2 linked regions of the Saccharomyces cerevisiae S288C genome follow. Changing the gene in region 1 together with any one later gene gives a genetic interaction. Each region holds a gene or a part of one and is shown on either strand. Other genes may lie near its edges.

Region 1 (7,521 bases):
TGTATCAAGTTAGGTGTTAAGGGTATCGAACACGGAAACTTATTAGATGAACGTACCGCAGAGCTTATGGCAGAATTGGGTTGCTACTTGACTCCAACACTAGTTACCTACAAAGTGATGGGTTCTGATCAATTTAGTGCATTCTTGGGACCTGAAAATAGTAGAAAAAATACAGAGGTGCTTTACAAAGGAATTGATGCAATGAAAATTGCCCAGAAAAAAAAAGTTAAAATTTGTTTTGGTTCAGATTTATTGGGTCCTCTATATGGTTATCAAACGCAAGAGTTTCGTATTAGAGGGAAAGTTCAAACGACACAAGAGATTTTGCTCTCAGCAACTGTTACTCCTGCCGAAATGAACGGATTAGGCGATAAATTGGGACAGATTAAGCCAGGGTTCATTGCTGACCTACTGATGATGAAATCAAATCCGTTGGACGATATAACGATTTTGGATGAACCCGAGAGCAACATACTATTTGTCATGAAAGAGGGAAGGATATATTGATGTAGTTATAGTTGTTTTCACAGTCAGCATTATTTCTGAATGCTAGAAGCCTTTTTTTTTTTGAAGTCATAATAAAATATTTGGCTTGTAAATTTAAGTATTGAAGTCAAAATATCCTACTTATATCACAGTGAAATGTGAGGTGGATATGGCCCTTTAGGGCCCTTAATTTTACAAGTTACAGAATCTTTTTTTTTTTTATAGCATTTGTAAGGTCCGTGTATTCAGAAAAAAATCCAAGCTTAAAAAAGTGTATATAACATTTGGTATCTGAAATACGGATCTATCATAAAATAGAACACCTCAAGGAGGTATAAATTTTAAAAGTTTTTTTATTGTATGCTCGTGCCCGTTTTTTCTTAAAGTCGGAATTTGTTATCGAACACTTGGCATGCGCTAAAGATCGTTAATTTACAAAAATAAGGCGGATGAGATGCCTCCGCTAAATATTGCAGGGGTCGCTTTGAATGTTTCGACCAAAATGTGCTCTAAAATATAGAAATATCATTATTAACAGTATAATTAAACGTTGAGATAAAGTATTTCAAGTTAAGCAATATGAAAGGATGACAGAAAAGAAAATAATTTCTTAATATTACAGAATATGAACTAAAGTTTGCTATTACGTGTGCCAAATTTTGAATTAAAACTTGATATGAACCTCTGCAGGTTTATTATTATGTTTTCATGATTACCACCATTTATCATAACCAAATGTCTCACCTTTCTTTAAGGTATAAAATTTTTTATAATCATTATCATACGTTCTTTTCCAAACGTTGTTTCCCCACCAGCTGAGCTTACCACCTGGGTACTGTACACACAAGAAGATGATGACGACGGAGATTGCCACACCTGCTTCAACACCGGCCCCCATGACGAAATTGTACTTATTGAACCAAGCTCTCCATCTTTTTCTTATCAAGTTTAGGCAGAATGACATTGCAAAAAATAATGAGTAGTTATAAGGTGTGCTTGGTGGAATATTACCTGGGCCTGTGAAAAATACAGGAGTATGAATGTGCTTAGCAAATTTAAATTTAGGGAATTTCCATTGAACAGCATAAACGGCTAGTGGGAATAGCAAACCAATCAAGAAGAACCACATCAGCGGATTATAAATGCGCCCTGATGAGAAAAGATACTTTGGCAAAGACCAGATAATGGAAGCATTGAAAACCGTGCGACCATTAGCACAAGTGAAGCCATTTGGTTGATCGGTGGTACATAAGCCATCGATATTATGCATCATCCATTCCTGGACACCAACGTTAACCATGCCTGATATGATAGTGGCATAGATTTGAACGGCAAAGATCAAACGAGGGGAAACCTTCATGTACATGGCTAATTTCAAATCTCTACTCAAATTCAAGCCTTGTCTCATGACAATAAATCCGTATAGCTTGAATAATAAGTTTGCCATTGGTCTTAAAGGCAGCATATAACCGCAGATCAATTCTGTGATAATATTCAAACCTACGTGTTGGTTAGTCATTGCTTCCAAGATACCTTGCGGGATGAAATTTACAAGGGAAATTAATATTGCAATAACAAATGCCCAAGCTGGGAACTTAGTATCGAAACAGCACACTGCTACAAATCCTAAACCGATCATGACAATCTGCAAAAGTAAATACCACCAATCGGGACAATCCTTATAGTTCTTGGAGTAGATTCTCATGTGAATGTCAGTGCCACCATTTTTACGGTCTTTAAACTTGGCGACAATATCTTTACCGTGGTATAAGATGCAGTGGACAAAAACGGCGATAACAGCGGCAAAATTTAAAGCATACGACAAAAGATAGGAAAATGGAACGAATACCGGTGAGTATTCCTTATATTTCTCAAGATTAATGGAATAATCCTCGTTAAGAATCTTTGTTACGTTGTATTTGTTTTGAGTGTTGTCATAAGTAGAACCTGAAATGACGGGCATGTATTTGGCATACCAGGTATTCGTAAAATAAAGACATGGCAGCACTATGACGAAGAATATCAACACTGATGCATAGGTGTTGGCGGAGACGTAGAATGGTGTGGCGAAAACAGAGCCGGACATGGCTTGGGAAACCTGGGTGTAGTCAAATGTAATTGGCAACGCACCGAGACCACTTTGAGTACCAAAGATTGTGTTAGCGATGAAATTGTGTCTTGTCTTCGACCCCCATAGGATAACGTTGAAATAGGACAGACCGGTAAAGAGGAATCCAGGTACCCAATACCAGATGAACGATCCGATAAGGACGATTAAGAAGAACCTGTAACGGGGCATCGTCCAACCATTTGCGACTGTCTTTTCAACTTTTCTCGAGTGCAACGAATCAAACAAGGACACTGAAATTAAAGTCTGAGGCCAGATAGAGCTTGCAGGGTTGACGACCCATCTTCTGGTAAGACCTGCAGCACCATAACCAATCATTTGAGATGTCCAAACCAACAAGAACTGATATCCGACATTAAGTTTCATGTTGTAAAAGCTTCCCTGGGCGTTCAAAATGTACATAGCGTATGCAGTAGAGGAAGTAAGCGCCACGGCAATTGTGACCACGGCGTGTTCCTTTTTGGTAAATGGGCCCGGGTTTAAATCGAAAAATGGCACTTTAGAACACTTCCAGTCGGGCAAGAGAGCCAGTATCCTACCAATTGGGTAGCAAACAACTTGTGCAACAAGGAAGTTGATCTCTAGCGATGGATATCTCAGGGAAAAAAATTGATTAACACCGGCGAAAACTACCACAAACACCGTGGTCAAGAACCACGTTCTCCAGTGGTTGAGGCGGATGGTGGGGTCATCCTCGATGGACACCGCCGATCTCACTTCAGGATATGGAGAATTGGGCAAGTATGTAGGGTCGCCCTTCCAAACGAGACCTTCCTCCTGTATGGAATGCCTGTCGAATTTTTGGCTTTCCGGATCGCGGTCCTCCTCATCAGTAGTCGCAGTGAGATTATTGACGTCCTCGTCAATATTCTTAACGAAAGCATCTTTCTTTTCCTCTTCCATATTGATCTGGATAGGAATGGTTGTTGGCGTTGGCGAGGGCTCCGACTCCAACGAGTCGCTCTCCCTATAAATGGTACTCATGTGTTCTGTGACGTTATATAATTGTTGCGGTTATTTTCTGCCACACAGTCGAAAACTTTTTACCAAGAATACACAGCTTCCGATGATTGTCCATATATAGTCGAAACAATTCATTGAATAGCCCAAAATTTGAAAAAAAAAGAAAAATGATGGGCACCCCATGATGATAAGAGCTCTCTTTCTTCAACAACGATTGCTAAGGCGTTTACAGACCCATCGACTGCCCTTGCAGTGGGTTTGATGTGATTAACAGGCAGCAGCAACAAGCAACTGCTGAAAACCTTGGTGCCTTGCAGACGGCTATTGTCCTGGATTTTGTGTGACAAAACGTAGATGTGGCGTCTTGTAGTCGGAGGTGTGGCGGGCCGGAAAAATAGTGGAAAAAAAGAAAATTAATGCGATAGCGACGGGCAGGTAGGGAGGTTTGAGGGGTCCGTAGTATGCGTCTATCGTTGCAACAAGGGTGACTAATGCCATGTCTTGGCCTTTGATGCAACGTCTCGGAAGTTAGTATCGATCCGAGGAGTGGAACGGATGCGATTTCCCCTCCATTCTATCGATAAGGTTGCTGGGAAACGCATTATAAGGGATGAGTGAAGACGGAGGGAAAGCATAACGAGGAGAGATTGCCGAGATAACTGAGAAGACGTAATCTAAAGGCAACGCAGCATGTCTCGAGTTGCACAGCTCGACTCGATAGCGCTTGATAAAGAATTGTATGGACAGTTTTGGTCCGAGTTCAATGCAGCATTCAATACGAGTGAACACAAAGAGGAATGGGAGTTGGCACTGAACACAGTTGTGTTTATGTGCGCGACGAGGTTCCTGCCACACTATGGCTCTAGCTGTACGTATGGATCCGCACTCAGTGGCGTGGTTTTTCAGTGCAGGAAACGCACCTTGTATGTCGTCACTGTCTTGGCAGGGTACGTGTGGAAGAAGATCACACATATTATTTTTAATGGGCCGCACTGTGGGAACCAGATGATGTGGCTGAAGCTGTACAAATGGGTTAATTTATTGTATCACGGCTGTGATGTAACCAACTTCCTGAGGTTTCTAGCAGCGGAAGGGCCCAATGCGAGGGCGTTTTTGTCGCCGTTATACCGGGCTTTTAATGTCCATTCCACAAGGTTGATTCGGGATGGTTCTGCAATTGCCTCTGAATTTTATTCGAACTCTGTATTCGCTGGGTTAGAATACCAGAATAGACAATTGCTATGGAATGCACTATTAGAACTCTTTTCCAATACACTACTTACGAAAAGAGGACTCTTGACCTTTGTTAAAAAACCACCAAGGTCTCGTTCTACGACTACTTATAAGACAGTTTGCCCCCGTTGCGGCGGTTTTCCAACCAACCCATACCAGATCGCTTGTTGTCGTGCGAACTACTGTTACGTGTGCGTTGTAAAGGCGTTGGAGTGGTCTATGTGCGATGCCTGTGGATCCTCTGGGAGACTGACCGCCTCACCAGTGTACTAAAGGGCCCCGTTCCCTCGCTTGTATCTCTATATATGTGTATACTATATTCATATTCATGTTGTCAAAATCGGTCACGTGGTAAAGGGTCTGGTTTTTTTTTTTTCACTTTCTGCTCAAGAAAAAAAAGAAACAATAAAGAAGTGGTATAATATCATCATGGAACGCTGTACGGGACGATGTGGGAAGCGACGTCTGAAATCCAGTAATAATAAACAGTGAGCACTTTAGGATAGCAGTAGTTTGCATTTTGCACGTTTCCCTTTCCATGCAATGTTTTTACCTCGTCTCGTTCGGTACAGGACCGAGAGGTTTATAAAAATGGTACCTACCAGGACCTTGCGACGAATCAACCACAGCAGCAGGGATCCAATTCAAAAACAGGTCTTGGCCCTTATCAAAGCAAATGCGAATTTAAATGACAATGACAAGTTGAAAATACGGAAATATTGGTCTGACATGGCGGACTACAAAAGTCTTCGGAAACAAGAAAATAGCTTACTGGAAAGCTCTATATTACACGAGGTCAAGATCGAAGATTTCATCAGTTTCATCAATCGCACAAAAACCTCATCTATGACTACAAGAGGAATTTATAGAAGAGAATGTTTGTACCAATGCAAGAAAAACTTGGATCTAGTCAATCAAGTGGTCTCCCAAGTTTCATCCGTAAGACATCAAAAGCCCTTGACTACGCAATTGGATACTATGCGCTGGTGTGTTGATGATGCCATCGGCACAGGAGACATAGTTATGGCTGCCGACCTTTTCCTGCTGTACTACAGATTATTTACAGATGATAAAAAGCTAGACGAACAATATGCTAAGAAAATAATATCAGTATTAGCGTACCCAAACCCACTGCATGATCATGTTCATCTAGTCAAATATTTACAACTGAACTCTCTGTTCGAAAGTATAACCGGAGGCGGAATAAAGTTAACGAGGTTTCAATTAGAAACTCTTTCTAATAAGGCCCTCGGCTTAAGTAATGAAGCCCCGCAATTATGCAAGGCTATACTGAACAAACTGATGAATATAAACTATTCTTTGACTAACGATTTGAAGCTTCGGGATGATCAAGTGCTGCTTGCGTACAAGTCCATTGATGAAAATTATAGAAGAGGAAATGTTGCAAGTGTGTATTCTATTTGGAACAAAATCAAAGAGCACTATGTTTCCATTTCTGCACATGATTCCAGAATCATTTATAAAGTCTTCAAGATTTGTACCCATAATAGAGCCTATAGATCTATATGTAGCGAAATGTTTTGGCAATTAACTCCAGAGTACTATTGTAATAACCCTTTGATATTACCGGCAATTATTGACTTCATTACAAAGCAAGACTCTTTAACAATGGCCAAGGAACTCATGCAGAACATTAACAGATACACTTTACCCGAAAACCATCATATTGTCTGGCTTAACAAGAGATGTCTTTCTTCATTGCTAAGAATGCATTTGAAATTTAACGATTCTAACGGTGTAGATAGGGTTTTGAAGCAAATAACAACAAATTTCAGGGCGCTTTCGCAAGAAAATTATCAAGCAATAATTATTCACCTTTTCAAAACACAAAACCTCGATCATATCGCTAAGGCAGTCAAATTACTCGATACTATACCCCCCGGACAAGCAATGTTAGCCTATGGGTCAATAATTAACGAAGTAGTTGATTGGAAATTGGCTTCAAAGGTCAAGTTCACCGATAATTTGATGGCACTTGTAAACGATTTGTTGACGAAGGCACATGATTTTGATCCTGACCACAGAAACTCTCTTTGGAATGTGGTTTCCGCTTTATACATTAAAAAACTTTGTCATTATAAAAAGCGAGATGGTAAATTTGTTGCCAATGCCAAGAAGGATATCGATTTGGCAAAACTACTTTATATAAATGCTGCAAAGAGAAGTAAAACATACTGGACAAAATCGAACTGTAACCCATTCATTGCATCCTCCCCATGTGATGTCAAATTAAAAGTGAATAATCAAAACAGGTTTACTATTTTAAGGAATATTGCATTAAGCGCACTGCAGATAGGAAGAACAGACATTTTTCTTTGGGCGTGCGCAGAACTATACCAGAACGGTATGACGATTGAGGAATTGAAGTTAGACTGGAATTTCATCTTAAAACATCAAATTAGAAATTCAGAGTTCAAAACAAACAAGGAGATCATACAAGATATTAAAAAGCATGGTGTGTCGGCTGTCAAACGTTACTTAAGATGAACGGCCAAACGCACATTTACGATATAAATAACAAAGCAAATAATAACAAAACAAATTTCTGTAAATATATACTAAATCCAAGCATTGCATCCTAATTCTTTTCTTTTTTTGATCATCAAATAAATGTATTATTTTATGTTATATGCGTTAGACTTGTTATATTCTTTCATGCTATTCTATCGTTGTGTTATGAATTAATTTAT
Region 2 (7,313 bases), on another chromosome or scaffold:
ATGCTGGACTTTTAGTTATATTACTCATCTCGATCTTTCCTGTCTGGACGGCAAAGGCAATTTATAGAAGGCTACATCCTCCAAGTTATGCAAAAGTGCAAGAGTTTGCCACTCCATAATTCAATTGGTTTGGATTTTTCTTGTTGCTTCAACGGATTATCTTAAAAAAATCTATCATATTTCAAAATATAAATTCTTATTTTTACAAAGAAGATATAGATTATGCATAATATTATTTTGTTACATTTTTTTTCTTTTACTTTTTATTTTCTTTTCTTTGTACTTCCTCAAATAAGCATCTTTAGCAGGTTAACAATAGCAAATATCATGTCCAGCCCAAATCACATAATACTTTCCACTTCACTTTCACTATCTGTTTCGGGAGACCTATCATCCACGGTATTGACAGTTGGTCTTTGGAAATCAGTTGCATGTGCCCAAGGAATGGATCTCGAAATGTTCTCAAACACGGAGGACCTTCTTCTGAAAGTCCCACGGTAAGCGGGCATAGGTTCGGCAAAACTGTGAGGATTATTGTCATGTGAAGGCGTGATAGGTATGTCGTTAAGTGATGAAAAGGCTTTTGAACCCAAATCACTACTATCCATAGAATCATCACCGACCTGCGCAATTGGATAAGGCAGAGGAGCGTCACCGGTAACCCTGAATAGGTGAACATTGGCAACATGTTCATTTTCGACTCTGAAGATGATCCAAACGAATCTTCTTAAAACCTCCAAAAGGGCCAATATAAACGACGTCACAGCACTCTGCTGAATTGTTTGAGGAGCAATTGCGTATACAATCCACTCAAATCTAATGAGGATATCCCAAATCATAGCAAAGTAATAAACTAACTTCCTACTGAATGAATAACTGCCGTTTTCCCAATTTTTTTTACCAGCTAAATACAAGTCGTCTCTTAGCAACCAATTGTAAGAAGTAGTATTGTGAGCAAAGGACCAATCCATAACTAAATCCCAGGCGGAAGTAAGGATCGAATTCAACGTAGCGCACACGATAAAAGGGGTTCTCCTTTGTTCAGAACGGTCTGACAATCTGTAAGCACAAAGTGTGGCATTATACGCTATACCCAAAGTGTATTTCGCCGCGTTCAAAAGATGAGGGAACCAATCACCGGAATCAGCAAATCTTCGTAAACATTGCATGAATCTCCAATAACTTGGTAAACATGATAAAACACCCATTGCTCTGGAATGTGAAGAGCCACATAGATTGTTGGGCGTATGAGAGTAAACACAGAAGAACATGGCAATATCGGCAATAGAATACGTCAACGAACAAATAATATCTCCCAAAAAGAAATCACCAAACTCAACAGGGAAAAAACCAGACATCATCAGTCTAATAAGAGTAACCACCAGCCATTTTCTAGTGTGTACAACTTTGTCCCAATATGGAATTAGACCAGAGGGACATAAAAATAAGAAAGACACAATACCAATATATAAAAAGCCTAAGGGTGTGAGCTTCTCCAAAGCGAAACTTAACATGGAACAGACCGCACAAGGTACTATGAAGAATGTCAAGAAATACAACTTGAGCGGAATTTTACTCGTGGCAAAATCATTGTTGAAAAATTGCGTACCATTCTTGGATTGAATCTCACCCAGCATAATAAATCTATAATTAATCCCGGTTCTATGCCAGATAAAACAATTAACAAGAAAGAGAAACGCGATCAACAAAACCATGTACCAACCACCCCACAGTGGGAACAGAATCTTGTGCGTAAATGACGTTTCTTCAGAGCTAATGCCCAAATACAAAGTGTAAGTGATCAAAGTCATTGACACACCTATGCCCAGCCCGACAACCAGCATCTGCACAATCGATCTGTTGTTTCTATGAACCATTTGTTCGGAGATAGAGTACTGAATGGTCAATTTCTTCAACTTATGGGTATTGTGCTTCCTGTCCTTAGGCGAATTGGTCAACGCAGTGGTGAACCACTCGGTGATCTGCGTTTCCAACCAAGTGATGGGCTCTTTGTCTCTTTGGGCGGAAGAGAGCTCCGAAGTGGGTGTTGGTTGCGAACTGGTTATTTGTTGCATCTTCTGTGCCACCAACTGCACGTTGGCATCCGCGTGCTTGAAAAGGGTGTAGTGGGTCCTGGCGTACGACATGAACGTGGTCAGCTCTCTTGTGTGACACGTTTTGTCGAATTTCTTGACCATTTTACGGAACCCGGTGACGTTGATATCCCGGAACGATTTGACCAATTGCAAGTACAGATAGTACTCGATTATAGCGTTGCTTAACAAGTTTCTAGCCTGGGTTGTCGTCATAGTCTCCAGAAAAGAAGCGCCAAAAGCAAACGTCTCGCGGCCTCTTGAGGACGCATCCTGTCTCAAGTCCTGTAGCAGAGAAAATCCACGTTTGGGCCACGATGGCAGCAGCCTATTGTCCTTAAGAACTTTCTGACAGTACGCTAGCAGCGACAAACGCGGCTTCTTGGCCTCTTTGGTGCAGGGCATTGACCCATACATAACAGACCGGCTATCGCTGTCGATGCTATTGACCCTGGAGTCAGAACGACCAGCAAGCCCTGCCGCATATAGACTCGTGGACATGTCAACATTCGAACTAGACCGGTTCAAGTTGTCGCGCTCATAATTCTTCTGCAGCGAGTAATAGTGCAGTTGCGACTGTAAAACCTCAAACTTCTTGTCGCACTCCTTTAGCAACCAAAGGTAAAACTCGTTACACTTACTCAACTGGAACGAGATCAACCAGTCTTCAATGAAGTCAGCAACGAACTCCCTCTGCAAAGCAGAATAGTCCTTCTTGAACGCAGGTCCGGAGCGATAGTCTCCGTCGCTGCGACTTTTGCCGGGCTCTCTCTGCTGAAATGCAGTCTGGTATACCGACACAGAGGGCATCCAGCTCCGGTAGGAGCTGGATTGCTCTTCTTCGGCATCCAGCTTCTCCTTGTAGCGGCGAAGCTTCTTCTTGCCGACCTTATAATCAATATATTTGTCCCTCCATTCCGGGATGGCAGACTCGGTTAGATGGTCAGCAAACTTCATCTGATACGGTGCTATGGTAAAGCCCTTCCATTGCTGCCAACTGAATTAAAAAAAAAAAAAAAATAACTACCAACCATCAAATCAAACAAAACAAAACAAAAAAGCAAAGGAGAAAACCCATCTTGTACATGTACAGTCCCAAACTGTTGCGAAACCGTGCGATGATGTTCATGGAACTTGCGTCAAATAAAACCGCATCCCGTCCCACGTGACAAACGGCACCCAAAATCCGTTCTAGAAATGCCTCACACCCACACCGATGATGGGCTTCCGACTCGATGACTACCAACACATAGCCAGCCGCAGCGGCTGGCAGCATGTGCATGATAATGATAAGTGATGATGAATGATGGTGATAACGATTTTGAACAAATGGCTGCAGCGATAGCAACTAAGGGGATGGAAAGACAGATCTGGGAGAGATAACTGCAGGGTGTGGCACGGCAACACAAGGCTATTGTATTGCACTAAACGGGCAAGAAGCCATGATGTGCGTCTGTATCCCAAAAAAAAAACTAATGGATTGGCGCGTGTACTATATATATTCATATGTCGTGTGTTTGTATATGTGTGGGAGTGATTGTGCGTGTATATGTGTGTTGGCGTGTGTGGTACAATGTGTGTGTTTTAATGTAGAAATGAGGTTGTAGCACGTGATCGGGAAGCCACAGTTTGCGCGGAGATATTTTATTTTTTTTCATCAGCGTAAGAAGAAAGCAACCTTGCAGTCTGTATCGTAAGAGAAGACTGCAGTTAAAGAAGTTTAGAGAAGAGGCTTGAGTATCGGTAAAGGGGTGTGTGTTTGGTGATTTATAAAGGAGAAGGGCATGAGGAGAGAGAGGCAAAGGATGATGAGTTTCGAGGACAAGGACAAGGACGACCTTGACAATAGTAATAGTAATAACAGCAGTGAAATGACAGATACGGCGATGATGCCACCATTAAAGAGATTGCTTATTACGGGCAGTAGCGATGATTTGGCACAAGGATCATCGGGTAAGAAGAAGATGACGATGGCGACGAGGTCGCCATCGTCATCACCCGATTTGGCGACAAACGACAGCGGCACTAGGGTACAGCCATTGCCAGAATATAACTTCACCAAGTTCTGCTATCGGCATAACCCGGACATTCAGTTCTCACCAACTCATACAGCGTGCTACAAGCAGGATTTGAAACGAACGCAAGAGATTAATGCTAATATCGCGAAGCTACCCCTGCAGGAGCAATCCGACATCCACCACATTATCTCGAAGTACAGCAATTCCAATGACAAGATACGGAAGCTGATTCTGGATGGGATCCTATCGACGAGTTGCTTCCCACAGCTTTCCTACATTTCGTCACTCGTTACACACATGATCAAGATCGACTTCATCAGCATTCTGCCGCAGGAGCTGTCGCTGAAGATCTTGAGTTATCTGGATTGCCAATCTCTTTGCAACGCCACGAGAGTGTGCCGCAAGTGGCAGAAGCTCGCGGATGACGACAGGGTATGGTACCACATGTGCGAGCAGCACATAGACAGGAAATGTCCCAACTGTGGCTGGGGGCTGCCTCTTTTGCACATGAAACGTGCGCGGATACAACAGAATAGTACAGGATCTAGCAGCAACGCAGATATCCAGACGCAAACTACGCGACCTTGGAAAGTCATCTACAGAGAACGGTTCAAAGTGGAGTCAAACTGGAGAAAGGGCCACTGCAGGATTCAGGAATTCAAGGGCCACATGGATGGTGTGTTAACGCTCCAGTTTAACTACAGGCTTTTGTTCACAGGCTCGTACGACTCCACCATAGGTATATGGGACTTATTCACGGGGAAGCTAATACGAAGGCTCAGCGGCCATTCGGACGGCGTCAAGACATTATATTTTGACGATAGAAAGCTGATTACGGGCTCGCTCGACAAGACGATCCGTGTTTGGAACTACATAACCGGTGAATGCATTTCCACGTATCGAGGCCACTCGGATAGCGTTCTGAGCGTAGATTCATACCAGAAGGTTATCGTTTCCGGCAGTGCTGACAAGACGGTCAAGGTATGGCACGTGGAGTCCAGGACATGCTACACCTTGAGAGGCCACACGGAATGGGTTAATTGCGTCAAATTGCATCCGAAAAGCTTTTCATGTTTTAGTTGCAGTGACGATACCACAATCCGAATGTGGGATATCAGGACCAATTCATGCCTAAAAGTGTTCAGGGGTCATGTAGGGCAGGTGCAAAAGATCATACCGCTTACCATTAAGGATGTAGAGAATCTAGCCACCGACAACACTTCTGATGGCAGCTCTCCGCAGGATGACCCAACAATGACTGATGGTGCAGACGAATCAGACACACCGTCGAACGAGCAAGAAACTGTCTTAGATGAAAACATACCTTATCCAACACATCTACTATCTTGCGGACTGGATAACACAATCAAACTATGGGACGTCAAAACCGGTAAATGCATAAGAACACAGTTTGGGCACGTGGAAGGTGTTTGGGACATCGCCGCTGACAACTTCAGAATTATAAGTGGTTCTCACGACGGAAGCATTAAGGTCTGGGACTTGCAAAGCGGGAAGTGTATGCACACGTTCAACGGTCGAAGACTACAAAGAGAAACTCAGCACACACAAACACAATCCTTGGGTGATAAAGTCGCCCCTATCGCTTGTGTTTGTATTGGAGATTCAGAATGCTTTAGTGGTGATGAATTTGGGTGCGTAAAAATGTACAAATTCGATCTCAATGATTAGGACCTGTGTGTGGTCTTTTCTTGGTCAAAAACATCCGTAGTACCTCGAATATATATGCTTACATATATAATGAAAAATACATAATAGCATTTTACATTTATTTTATTTCCAGGAAAAAAATAAATCGCTAGCGTATCACTAGCCTTTTCCATCTTCAGTTTTTTTCCTTCCTCTTTTTCGTCTCGATAAAACTCTTGACCATTAGATGCTATTACTCCCCCACGGAGCCCTTCCCACGCTAAGGGGGATGTCAAGGGGGGGACTGAAGATAAAGCTTATTATATTGACGGCGATGATGAAGAGGGCGTACGCATAAAATGTCGTACAAGATCCATAATCTGCAATATTGTTCCCTCAACAGTACTAATAAATCCAAAGGGCGAAGGTACTTTATTATATAAACGCGCACGGCCATTGTATATAAAGGCGATTACATAATAGAATACTTATCGATTCCGTAATCCTTGAAATATAGAATATACATAAAATAGACAAGAACCCAACAGTTGAGGCGCCAGCTTTGGTAATAGCTTAATAATAAATAAAAAAAGATAATATAGCTAGCTAGTATTATTGCTTTTATCCGTATGGCCACCACCACGCAACCACAAAATATACTGATGGATGAACCTTTAAATCTTCCTAATAACAGTGCCCACAACAATAACTATGGAAACATAAATGCGAATATAAGAACTTTTGCTGGTATGAGCATGCACATGCACCCTGCCAGGCTGAACTCTCTGGAGTTTTTGCACAAGCCCAGGAGACTATCTAATGTAAAACTGCACAGATTACCTCAGGACGAGCTTCAAAGAAATACGGACATGAATAAGGGAATGTATTTTAATGGGAAACAAGTTCATGCCCATCACCCGTTTATAAATTCTGGAGCGAACTTTAACGCACATCATCAAGACGTCAGTAAATTAGGCGAGGAGGAAGACGAAATCTCTCCTCTATCACATGATAATTTCCAGTATGAATCCGAGGAAAATGGTAATCCTTCACCTCCCATTTACAAGAAATCTGGAGAACTGGTTAAGAGTTCATTAAAAAGAAGATCCAAGTCCCTACCCATTACTCCCAAATCTATATTCAACAAAACTGGCTCTAAGAGTAAACATGTCAATTTAGATCATGTAGATACTAGGCTATTGCAAAGAAGTAAAAGTGTCCATTTCGATCGTGTTTTACCAATAAAGCTGTTCAATGAAAATGAGAAACCCATAGATGTTGGCAAACAAATGGTTCAACAAGATGTTCTGAATTTCAAGCATAAGCCTTTGACGAGACTAAGTGCCCTTAATGGCGGTAGTGATAGCGTACCTATAGAAGATTTACTATCTGAAAACAACCAAAACGAATATGGAGATACATGGCTACAAAACCCGAAGGGTGTATTCCTATTTGGTACAAATTCTAATAATCGTAGAAATAAAAAAAAGAAGTTTAAACTAAGTGACGATGACAGTGATATTGAAAATGACAATGATAGTGACGACGCTATAAA

The links. Genes that interact genetically often act in the same process or in processes that back each other up.
Region 2: mutations in PEX2 (region 1) and MET30 together harm fitness more than expected from each alone (negative genetic interaction), as found in Saccharomyces cerevisiae (2 studies listed by BioGRID).

What each region holds. Positions count from the first base shown.
Region 1 is NC_001142.9:32,652-40,172, forward strand, and holds PEX2 (ubiquitin-protein ligase peroxin 2), read left to right. Parts: upstream 1-4,267; coding exon 4,268-5,083; downstream 5,084-7,521. Other genes in the region: YJL213W (uncharacterized protein), read left to right, coding at 1-507; oligopeptide transporter OPT1, read right to left, coding at 1,199-3,598; CBP1 (Cbp1p), read left to right, coding at 5,354-7,318. UniProt on the Saccharomyces cerevisiae protein: E3 ubiquitin-protein ligase component of a retrotranslocation channel required for peroxisome organization by mediating export of the PEX5 receptor from peroxisomes to the cytosol, thereby promoting PEX5 recycling.
Region 2 is NC_001141.2:264,774-272,086, forward strand, and holds MET30 (ubiquitin-binding SDF ubiquitin ligase complex subunit MET30), read left to right. Parts: upstream 1-3,877; coding exon 3,878-5,800; downstream 5,801-7,313. Other genes in the region: aminophospholipid-translocating P4-type ATPase NEO1, read left to right, coding at 1-119; SYG1 (Syg1p), read right to left, coding at 342-3,050; YIL046W-A (uncharacterized protein), read left to right, coding at 3,536-3,700; putative protein phosphatase regulator PIG2, read left to right, coding at 6,388-7,313. UniProt on the Saccharomyces cerevisiae protein: Substrate-recognition component of the SCF(Met30) complex, an E3 ubiquitin ligase complex that mediates the ubiquitination and subsequent proteasomal degradation of target proteins. Negatively regulates sulfur amino acids biosynthesis genes expression.